3 linked regions of the Oryzias latipes genome follow. The protein of the gene in region 3 interacts with the protein of the main gene of each other region in a pairwise test. Links are inferred from orthologs where the notes say so. Each region holds a gene or a part of one and is shown on either strand. Other genes may lie near its edges. The genes, in order: fgfr1op, calcium-binding and coiled-coil domain-containing protein 1 and cep19.

What was found.
Region 1: the proteins of cep19 (region 3) and fgfr1op interact in binary tests that used the Homo sapiens proteins (3 or more experiments, as listed by UniProt). The two-hybrid records come from large-scale screens. The link is inferred for Oryzias latipes from reciprocal best matches to the Homo sapiens genes CEP19 and CEP43.
Region 2: the proteins of cep19 (region 3) and calcium-binding and coiled-coil domain-containing protein 1 interact in binary tests that used the Homo sapiens proteins (3 or more experiments, as listed by UniProt). The two-hybrid records come from large-scale screens. The link is inferred for Oryzias latipes from reciprocal best matches to the Homo sapiens genes CEP19 and CALCOCO1.

Annotation. Positions count from the first base shown.
Region 1 is NC_019882.2:22,955,337-22,959,553, reverse strand, and holds the start of fgfr1op (FGFR1 oncogene partner), read right to left. Parts: upstream 2,922-4,217; 5' UTR 2,852-2,921; coding exon 2,768-2,851; intron 915-2,767; coding exon 861-914; intron 790-860; coding exon 735-789; intron 1-734. UniProt on the Homo sapiens protein: Required for anchoring microtubules to the centrosomes. Required for ciliation.
Region 2 is NC_019865.2:12,634,949-12,638,602, forward strand, and holds part of calcium-binding and coiled-coil domain-containing protein 1, read right to left. Parts: intron 3,462-3,654; coding exon 3,374-3,461; intron 3,237-3,373; coding exon 3,025-3,236; intron 2,792-3,024; coding exon 2,700-2,791; intron 1,216-2,699; coding exon 1,188-1,215; 3' UTR 1-1,187. UniProt on the Homo sapiens protein: Functions as a coactivator for aryl hydrocarbon and nuclear receptors (NR). Recruited to promoters through its contact with the N-terminal basic helix-loop-helix-Per-Arnt-Sim (PAS) domain of transcription factors or coactivators, such as NCOA2.
Region 3 is NC_019862.2:3,243,743-3,247,089, forward strand, and holds cep19 (centrosomal protein of 19 kDa), read right to left. Parts: upstream 2,067-3,347; 5' UTR 1,965-2,066; coding exon 1,835-1,964; exon of another isoform or gene 1,809-1,834; intron 1,117-1,808; coding exon 773-1,116; 3' UTR 505-772; downstream 1-504. Other genes in the region: pigx (phosphatidylinositol-glycan biosynthesis class X protein), read left to right, coding at 2,398-2,461, 2,688-2,772, 2,849-2,984, 3,106-3,319. UniProt on the Homo sapiens protein: Required for ciliation. Recruits the RABL2B GTPase to the ciliary base to initiate ciliation.

The sequences.
Region 1 (4,217 bases), on a different chromosome or scaffold from region 3:
GCCACGTCTTCAGTTTACCCTCTTACCATCCGACGCAAGCCATTTTGCTGTTTAATCCAGGGGCTGCGGGCTGGAAATGACCTCAAGGCAAACCCCGTCCTTGGTGGACAGACGTCATTGTAGGAGATGTTAAACCTCATGGGGTTGATATGAAGGATACTGAAGGATACTTCTTGCAGAAGACCGGAAAATATGGAAAACCCTTGTTTTTTTGGTCGGCTCTATGCCGACACCAGAGGAGGGATGAGTCTTTAAATATTTTTCCATAATGTTCAATCTGGTTTTTCATTCACTTTAAGATGATCCTGATTTGACTCTAAAGACCAGAGCTGGACCCGGTGAGTAGCTGCTAGGGGGAGAGAGGAGACAACGGGCAGCAGCAGAGAGGCATGGCCATTCCCCGCCCCTCTTTCACATCAGTAACCTACTCTCTCTCTGCCTCAGTGTGATGAATGATTAGCCAGTTTTTTTTTAATCAGATCAGGTTTTTGATCGTGTGCTCCTCTGATTATGACAGATTATTTGGGCTACCAGAGGCTCGACATTATTAAACGACGGCACTGAGGACAACAAACTTTTTTCCCCCTCCTAAACTGTTGTACCTTTCACAATAATCAAAGTGGGTTTATGTGACCCTGCTCTATCCAACTTTTTCATGATGAGTTCATACTGATTCCATTCCTCTTGTTGGCTTAGAGCAGCCAGCACTCAGAGCCCACAGCATCAAAACTCACCGTCTCTGCTGTTCAGACACTTCTTTAGGCTTTCATTGACGAGCGGGACTTTGTTCTGAAGACGAAAAGGAAAAGCAGGTGAGAGAGGAGCCAAGAGTGGAGAGTCCACTCAGGACCAAGGCCCACCTCCAGTCTATCTTGGTCCTCCATGGCCAGAAACACTGCAGCCCTCATCTCCGCCTGCAGGAGCAAAGACAAGCAGCAGCATGAGAGCCGCCCTTCATCTCCAATCCATCAACATTCCTTTTGACAGTTCTTTAAATTCAAAGTGCAGCTTCAGTTCTAACCAAATGTTTGAAACAAAGTCAGTACAGCAGAAGGAGGAGGGGCAATAAAGTCATTCAGTATCTATCTATCCATCCATTTAATTTTTAACCTGACACACGGTAACATTTATGACAGATTTTTTGATGGTGAGGTGGCCAGGTCCTGCAGTAGCAAAGCATCCCAAAACTATGACACTTCCACCTCTGTGCTGCACAGTTGTTATAAGGATCTTTTCTTTGAATGCTGTACTTGGTTGAAGCTGAGCAGGTCTTCTCTTCATCACTTAGTCTCATCTGTCCAAAGAACATTTTTCCAGCAGGCATGGACTATGTCTGCATTCTCTCACTTCTCCCTAACCCTAAATGATTACAAAGTGCAGGACCATCCAGTATCTAGATTTTGATGCAATTCAGAGTCACTTTTTTCTTTTTTAAAACAACACCTATAACATCAGTTTGCAGAAGTAAAAACCTAATAGATTTGAATATTTAACAAAGACAACGTATGAATCCATACGTTAAATTTACATAACCTTTTTCAAATGACAAACTGTGCAAACACAACGCATTGTGGTCTGTGACAAGAACAGGCCGACGGCTGGATCCAAGTGCAGCAGCTTTATTAGCTCAGCTAAAAGTCCACAAAGCTAAATCAGGGTCAAGCAGGCAGGAGTTGATAACAGGCATAAGATCATCAGTGGAGAGACAGGGTGGTCAAAATCTAGGCGAGGGTCGGGGCAGGCGGCAGGCAAACAGAGTCAGGGTCAGAAGACATAAGATCAAGTCCAGATATAACGCACAGTAATGAAGGCAGGAACTATACTTTGCACTGAGCTTCACTCAGTGCGGAGCTTAAGTTTGCTGTGGTTGATTGAATGAATAAGAGTCAGGTGTGCAGCATCCAGGAAGACTCCTGACAGTGGTCTATTTTTGCCATCCTTGTTAACATAGATGAACACTAGTTCTTTGCAGAAATTTGTGGGAAATTTCCAGAGCAGTGGATTTTGGAATTTTAGGCTTTGTCCAAATTCCTTCAATACGCACTATATAGTGTGTTCACCATTCTGATGTGCTGTCCAAATCTACTATTCCAAAATCAAGTGCCTAAGAAATTTCCCAGAAATCTCTGAACAAAACCAGTGTCCATTCGATGCTCACTAGATTGGCAAATAAAGACCACAATACATTGCGCTTGAACAATTTTTGCGAAAAAATTGCATTTAAATGTATTTTTTTAATAAACCATCAACGTTTTCATTTTCAGAACTCAGTGGATTCATAAATGATCGTCGCAAAACACTCCTATCAATGAGATTTTTACTTCGCTGTTTGAAAAAAAAAGAAGAAGAAGTAATTAGATAAGTTAAGACTTTATCCCACGATGGGGAAATTATTTTGTCTGCAGCAGCAAAAAAAGACTTAATAAATAGCAAAAGTAAAATTCAAGCAGAAGTAAAGTGACCTTCAGGTTTAACAGTAAATGATTATGAAAATCTTTTATATTAACATAGCGAGCATCATGGTGTCCAAACTGCTTTTAAATTTCAGGGCACTAGATGGCCTTGTATGGAGAGAAATTAGACTCAGTCGGATTTGTGCGTGCGTAATTCTTGATTTGTGCGTAAATTAGGATTTGTGTGTATGCATATTCTTCTTGCTTTGTGCATGCGTAAATTAGGATTTGTGCATAAAGCCAACGTAACGTTCAGCCCGGCAGAGAGCGCTGACGAACCAGACAACCGTTCTGTTTGGATTTGATCCGCGCACCTTCATCTTGTTCAGGACTCCACTATTCTCCAAGTTCTGGATCACCAGGTCCCGCAATTCCGTGTCATCTTCCGCAGCAGACATGTTCACCTGAAGCTATGCTAACAGAAAACCGCAGGTGTGTGTGTGTGTCTCTTCTTCCTCCTTTTCTTCTTCTTCTCCTTCTGCGTTAAACTAAGAGCGCCCCCTGTCGCCCTGGAGGAGCTGGAGCCTCCAGACACCGTCAAGTTGATCTCTCATTTAGGGGGTAATGAGTTCATGCTAAAATGTGATTTTTGACTACAGAAATCTTTCTGTTAAACTTGTACTTATCATCAGGAAACTCATATTTAAACACAACTCTCCCATATGTAACTGTTGGTAGATTTTATGGGATAACAAATCAATATTTTACAAAAATTGGATTGATAACGGTATTTGGTCATTATCACACATCATGAATTATAATGGAAACATTATTTAATTTAAAAGTGTTTCCTGTAAGTTTAAATTAAATTATAGAAAAACAATATAACAATGTGATCAAAGCAATCCCTCAGACTTTGGTCCAAATGTCCTCCAGTCTGGTTCATGATGTTCAAGTTCAGCTTCCATCTCTGTTGTTTGATGGTCAATCGCTTTATTCAAAACTTTCAAACTCATTAAACAGTCTTTGTTAGAGAACTGTTTCATCATTTCACATAAGAGGAAATGTGCAAGTTTAGATCTAAATTTATTAAATATCAGATTTTTGCAAAATACAAAGAAATCCATTTAATAACCATGAACTACGCTTTGGTTTTCCAGAAAATAACTGTTATTTTTATGAGATCAATATAGAAACACTTGATCATCTGTTTTTGAATGTATACTGTATATGTTATGTTATAACAGTTTTGGGGAGTTTTTTTGTTGGTGCTGTTCAAAGTCTCCTTTTCCTATTCTTATTCAGCTACAAAAACACATCGTATTATTTGGAGTAAATTCTGGTGATAAATTATTTAATTTGGCATTTAAAACACTATTAATATCTGGTAATTTTTTCATTAATAAAAGCAGATTCTTAGCAATAAAACTATTATTTAATACATTTCATAAAGAGATATTATATTTTCAATCACTGACATTTATGATAAACAAAAATGCAAGAAAACTATCCATTTTCATGATAGATAACATGCTGTATAACAATCCATAATTTAATATTATATTATGACATTTGTACTAGGCTCAATTCTAATTTTATTTTATTATGTTGTATTTTATTATTGTCTACATTTGTATTTCTTTCTGTTCTATCCATGTGAAAATTTATGTGATCTTTTGAAGTTCTAATAAAAAATATAAATGAAAATTCCTTGAAGTAGAACCATATTGTTTTCAAAGCAGAGGAAATACTTTCATCTTTGACCATTTTGTCGTCGTGCTTTATCTCTGACATAAATGTAAATTATTGATAGTGATGTTTGGT
Region 2 (3,654 bases), on a different chromosome or scaffold from region 3:
ATAATAAGAACAGAAATGTTCAAAAAAATAAACTGAGCATCCATGGATCCTTGTTTAATCTAAAAACACTCCTAGAATAAAAACAGTGTGCAAAACAGCAGGTAAAATTAAGCATCTAGGCATCTATAGTCAGATTTCTTAGCCTAGCAAGGAAGCTGCTGTTCCACAATCCACGCACATCTATTACAAACCTAACCTGAATATGCTTTAACTGCAGCTAAACTTTGACTAAAAAACATTAAAAAATGCATAAGGTATTGATTGAACACAGGCAACATTTCTTAATAGGCAGCGCATCGCCTTAAATCCGGCTTACAGCTTTCGGCACACATCTAGAACTGCATGGGTGAATCAGTGAATTAAGCTGAAGTTAAGCATTCAAATACACACCTTAAGGATTGTAGTAGTTGTTAAAAGAGTCTCTTTTATTAACAAATATAAATTGCATTTGATCTATAGCGAAAGGCTTCTAAGATCATTTTGATGTGTAAAGCTGTGTGACGTCTACAATTACACAGTCAGCTTAGGAAGCTGTGGTTCAAAACCCCGTCCACTTCTCTTAAATCACTTCTGCTGCTACAATCAACTACTTATGCCTTCAAGAAAGTGCATATCAAATCTTGGTTCTGAAGAAAATAAGAGAGAAATATGGTGTCTTAGATCAACGTTATTGCAGTATATTTAAGCATGACGCGGCATCATTACTTCACGATGCTTTAAAAAGTGTCTGAAGGAGCCGTACAGAATTTAATGCTGGATTCTTGTGATTTTCACCGAAGCCGGTCCTGCACAAAACATTGTTATTACAGTGCCTGTCGCGACTCTTAATCACGATTGCCATAAAAATGACATAACATCTATCGTAAAGCTCTCCACATAACAATGATTCAACAATAATCATTGTGCTACGGTGTGCAAACTCTCAAACGACAGGGTCCCAGCCCCGGAGCTGGTTGCTCCGGTTTCTTGTGTCAACCGTAGAAAATAAAAAAGCTCACCTGACACCACTGGCAAAAAGAGCCAAGGTAATAACACAACAGTTATGAGGGAAAGAAAAAGGAAATCTGAGAAGTTTGATATGTTGGAACTGCAGATTAAAACCTTCGTTTTGAACGAACGGGGACTATAAACGGACATCAGAGGAGAAGAAACTTGAAGTCCGGATGCCCATCTCCTGTGGTTGGCTGTTACCATAGCAAAGTGTCAGCCATATTGCTGGAGAAAGACACAAAGAAGAAAGCGTGCATGTTAAATAAAAAAAAAAAAAGGGAAATAAACCCACATTGTGATTGAAAAAGGATGAGAGGCTGAGTGGGAGAGGGAGAGTCTTAATGATGCTGAAAATTGGCCCATGACTGCGGTCCACCTGTCAGGTAAATCATCACAAGAGCTCCCTGTCAACTTGTCTGTCCCTGTGTCCTCCCATCTTTCCCGTCCTACGCCCCCTGTCTAAAACGGTCTCCCCCACGTCACCCTGACTCCACTTCTTTTACAACCACATATTCAAAACTTCCATCTCCGAGCCACAGTCACCGTAAATAACGGGTTGCATTGGTGTGAGTGCATTCAAAAGCGTTGCCTTTTTCTGAGCGCAGAGATGGAAAGTGACAGAGGACTCGCGTACTGTGCTTTGTGAGGTTTAAAGTTTCTAAATTTGAAAGAGATTTTTGCTTCAACTTATCCACATCCCCGAAAAGAAGAGAGCATTTCTTACTCCACTCCATTTAGAGGGCGGCTTTGTTCTCAAGATGCTCGCAGACTTAAAAAGTGTACACACAAATCAAGTCACGAGCTCATAAAATATGACACGTCGCTGCTGTTAAAAACCAGCCACCGTGACAAAGGAGAGACGCTAATTGTCTGACGTCAGGGAAGTTTTCAAATGCAAATCTGAATTTCTCTGAACACTAAATCTTCACCTGTGTTCAAGGTGTTGCGGTCATTCCAGCTCTGCGCCTGGTGATCCTTCACTCTTTATTGAGGGGAATATCCTTCAGCGTACTGAGAGGGCTGACAAGCCATCCTTTCTGCCTTTCAGAGGCTATAACACTAGCAGCTTATGAAACTGTTAGATCATTTCTGACATTTCAGCATTCATATGCTAAAGGCTGTGCTTAAGAAATAAATGAGTAAGTAGGACTAGAACAGTCTACCTATAGCATTTAGAGTACCTCTAGCTGTACTGCAAGAAGAATGCCAATCTACTGTAATGTTTTCCTAATGAAGCTTTTCTCTGCAGATAAATGACTTTTCAGTTTGACATATTTTTTTAATTTCTTCTTGTGAAGTATACTATTTTAGTCACCTGACAGTGAATTTTAACCATCATGTGATGTACTTTTAACATTATTTATGGAGCATAAATGAAGTTTAAGATGGATATTGGGAAGGGGGCGGGGTTGCTCCATGTCAACAGTCCCGCCCACATCTCGGGGGTAATTTTCTGATGAACTACTGCTGCTCTACAGAAATTATGTCCTTGAAAACAAGATTAAAAAAAAAATCTTTAGCTAAAAACAGCATAATCATAATTAAAAGATCACTGGGAACAGTTTTACAATAGATTAAAAATGACTGGAGTGGGACTTTAATGTTTAATTATAAAAAAGAGCAGAATTGTTTCCTTTTGTTTGAATAATTGTAGGGTAAAGTTAAAATAAAAAGGTCGACAGAGGAGTCATTTCTTTGGAGGGTTGTACCTGAGAGCGTCAGTGGTGTGCTGGGACAACAAAAATGATGTTTCCTCTCTGTACTCCTTCCTTCCATTCTGGACTGAATCCGATTCTTCCTCCTAAATCCCACAAGAACACACACATACACACAAACACTTAACTCGAGCAGCTATTACAGTCTAATAACTTGCAAACTAGGGACCTAATTGCTTCCGCAAGATAACGTCCAAATCAAACGACCCACTGCCCGTGTTTAACTGGTTTGCACGCCTATCTGCATGACCACGTATAATGATGCTGCTATGAATGGCTCTGATGAATTGGAGTTGTGTGGGAGAGTGCCAGCACTGGCCTGATGCGGCAGGGAAAGAGGGGCTGGCTGGCTGATGACCACTAGTCTCCAGTTCGCCTCCTTGGGGGACTGAGGGGGTGTTGCAAGGTGCAAGGAGTCGGGCTGGCCGTGCTCGCAAAGGCTGTAGTGTCCAACGTTTTGGGGTGGATGGTGGATTTCTAAAGGCTCCGGGCTCTCATCCTCAGACTCAGATGGCACACTGGCAGGACTGCCTGCCACATAGACAAAAGGAGAGAGGTCACCCATCTTCACGACACATGTCCAACTGAGCTGCATTTAGTTCAGTTCAAGATAAGATATTGGTTTTGTGCGCAGGTTAAACCAGCAGTTTAAGTGCTGCTCAAACTACCTGAAGAGGCGAGCGGTGCAGCTTCCCAGCTGGTACTGGCCGCCATTCCAATCTTCTGCTCCAGCTGACAGATGTAGTCCATCAAATCCTGCAGAGCAAAAGAACACAGGCTTCACATCACAAAGCAGGGCAGTACTTTAATCATGAACTCAGCAGCCATCACCCTTACAGGCCTGATGATTTCTGACTTTTTTAGGTGAAAGCCTTATAAAACTGTTGAACATTAAACACTAACAAAAATCAACATTTATTATGAAGCAAATAACATTATCTCTTTACAA
Region 3 (3,347 bases):
CTGCAGTTAAATGTGGTGCTTAAAACAAGTACTACTTCTGTTCTTTTTCAATTCGCTCACACCAAGACAAGCACAAAGTTAGAACTCAGACTGTGTCCAAGTCAAAACGCCTACGACATTTTTGAATGTATTGTGGTACTGTGGGTGTCTCCGGTCACCTGAATATGAGGTATTCAAGCACTTTGAAGAAAGTACCCTGAAGAAGTATGATCCTGCAGGCTGGGTGTGATCTGTAGTTCATGAACCTTTGCTGTAACACGTAACCATTGAAAAGTCTGTCGGGCCAATAGAGATGGAAGGGAAACACTGTCCAACCTTCCATGGAACTATATATTTTATACAAGTCAATATTTTGTAGAAATGTTTCCAAAGAGATTTGTTTTATTGTTGAAATACTACTATACATTCAGATTTTATTTAATAGAAGTTTAGATTCTTCCTAATGTTTGACTGAAAATCATGTTTTGTAAGCCACAAATGTTTGAACCAAAGTTTATGTATTTTCTTCAACTCTGTATTTTATAACAAATAAATTTTCACTGGTAATCACAATTTCGGTCCTTTTAGTCTTTATTTGTGTTGCATTTCAAGACGCTGCTGTTGATTCACTTCCCTTCATTCGGTCAGTGGTAACTTTGACAAGAAGGGAGCTTGAGATAATTTCTTCTGACGTGTTCTGGTTTACAGTCATTGGATTAAATGGAAGATGTAGAGGCCTATGGAGATTTTATTTTAGTGTGATTTTGGAGTTGGTGTTCCTTGGCGGGGAGCTTTAAAATCCGTCATCTGACTCATCCCAGCTACAGTTCTCCTGAGGGGCCTTTTCAAAATCCACCTCCAGGTCATAAACAAAGCCTGGATCATCCTTGTGCTTCCTATTTCTCTCAAACTCTCTGTCCATTTGAGCTTTTTTGCGAGCTAGTTCCTTGTCATCTAGTTTGTTGAGGTCCTCGTCCGGGTCCAGGTGGAAGGTGGAGAGGCTGTGCTTCAGGCTCAAACCACGTAGGTGATCCTGGAGGAGGATGTGAAGCTTCTCTAGTTGGCCCTGGGAGACCGCCTCCAGGTAGTCCCTGTGCCGAGGGTGCTCCTTCAGCTGCTCTGCAGCCATGCAGCAGTCTGGAGTCAGAGGAGACACGGTGAGGAAGACGGCTCTGATGTTTTTTTTTTTTTTTTTTTTTTTACAACTTTATTGAACAAAGCATAAGCATACAAAATCCAGCATCAAAGACTCAGAAAGAGCATCAGCAGTGATAGTCAATGTCATCAATCCAAACTTATTGAATCATTTCAAGAAGAAAAAAATAATAATAATAAAATAATCAGAAATATATCCAAAATAGAATATGCTGATAGAAAAATAAATTATCTTAAAATATATAAAAGGGGATTACAAAATAATGATAATAATAATATTTATAATACAAAGTTTTCTTAGAGGAGGGGATTACCTATCAAACAAAAAAGCACAAATTATTTCAGTGTTACTTGCTTTGGGTGTATTAATTTTTTTTATATATTCATAAAACTGGAGCATCTCGAACTTAAATATGGTGAAGTTGGGAGTTGTTTTTTTATTCTGCACTTATGAATGTAAAATTTGGAAAGGAGAAGTAACAAATTAATACTTTTTTCTACTTTTTTATCATCCGAATTAGACGGCTCTGATGTCAGGAGGCCTCAGCATCATCATGCTTACGACAACAATCAGGACCCCAAAAGAAATCACTGCAATGGTTTGGGCTACAGAAAGACTAAGGCCGGATCATCGTACTTTCTTTATCACACTGTTTCGTTAATTTATAAAAATCACAAAATAATGTTGTTGCTTTTTTACCTGACAGCTTTGTAAAGTTTCTTATGGGTATTACTCTTTTCCGCAGCTTTTTGGTCTCCGTATTTACATAAACTAAAACTATGGACGGTGGGTTAAACCGCACGCCGCATCGCTTTGCCTCAAAACGCATCTCCTTTGCCCCAAATGTATTTATTTGGTCTTCATTTAAACACTTCTAGCGCAGCGATGCGACTTAGCTAAATAACATAACTAGCAGCACAGAGGTAGAAGTGTTGATGCTCGGTAGCCTACCACCAACTGCTAACACGAAGGACTTCGCTTGCGCCTGTTTAGAATTCCTCAATGTTTACTCTTTAAAATTAATTGTATATATAAATAATGGTTATGTTAAATATGTGTATATTTGTTATCCCATGTCAAAGTTTTTGTTTTGTTTATTATGCGGATGAAAACCGCGAGCCAACGTGTTTTTAGACAGGCACAATTGTAGCCATCCTAAGCTTGCTAAGGGTCCTTCACAAAACACTTCCTGAAACACTTTCTTGATTCGAATAAACGAACATTCAGTATTTTATTTAGTGCTCATTTTACTGGAGTTTTTAATGTACTATTTACGCTTTTATCTTTTTTTCTGTTCAGCTCCGTGTGTTTGTTTGCTCAAAGAGGGTAAGCAATGTAAAACGTCCTGCCTCGAAAACACGGTGGTGAATGATATAATGATACATGTACAGATAAGTTCTCTCAACCATACATTTTAATTGGTAATGCTATTTCTGACTAAATACATCTCAGTTGGAATGTGGAACATGCATATGAAAGGTTATTAAACAAGCTTAAGTCAGAAAAAAAAACTGAACAGAATAATTTAAACGTCGTTTTTGTTTATTATTAGGAAATGGTGATCAGGAGCCCTGCTTTTTCCTGAAAGGCCTCCAACCCTCGTTGTATGTGGAGCTCAGCCATAAGGGCTTTCACAGGTGCTTGGAAACACGTGTTCAGAATCAGTGAAACAAGTGTTTCAAATGTTGTGAGTCCTTTCTTTGTGCTGTGCAGGGAGGTGGTGACCACCGTTGAGCTTGGCAGTGAGACTCCGGCGGATGTCAGAGCTTTGTTGGTTTACAGGTGGCCCAGGGACGTCTATGTGGACCCATATCAAGTTGCATCTCTGAGTCATCAACGTGGCTGGCAGGTTGAATCGAAAAGATCTCTCAAGTTTAATTTACACTGAGAATTTAAAATCTCCAAATTAATGTTAAATGGTGTTTTTTGTGTTTTACTGAGGTGCATGTTTCTGTCTCTATCACTAAAAGATGTTGTTTAATACCGCTATCGACCTAGAAGAGCCAGCCCACAGGACTTCAGAGTTTTCCACCTACGTGTTTCCCTCCCATGCCGGACCAACTCCCAATCCGCTAAAAGTAACAATTCCTATTCATGGTCGCTACCACAAGCCCTCCTTTGATGGGAAAACCTTTACTCCTGTTCACATTGAACTTCCTGAGCTCCTGCTGTGGACTAAAAAGTGTAAGATTCTAAGTTTACTGTAAAGCCG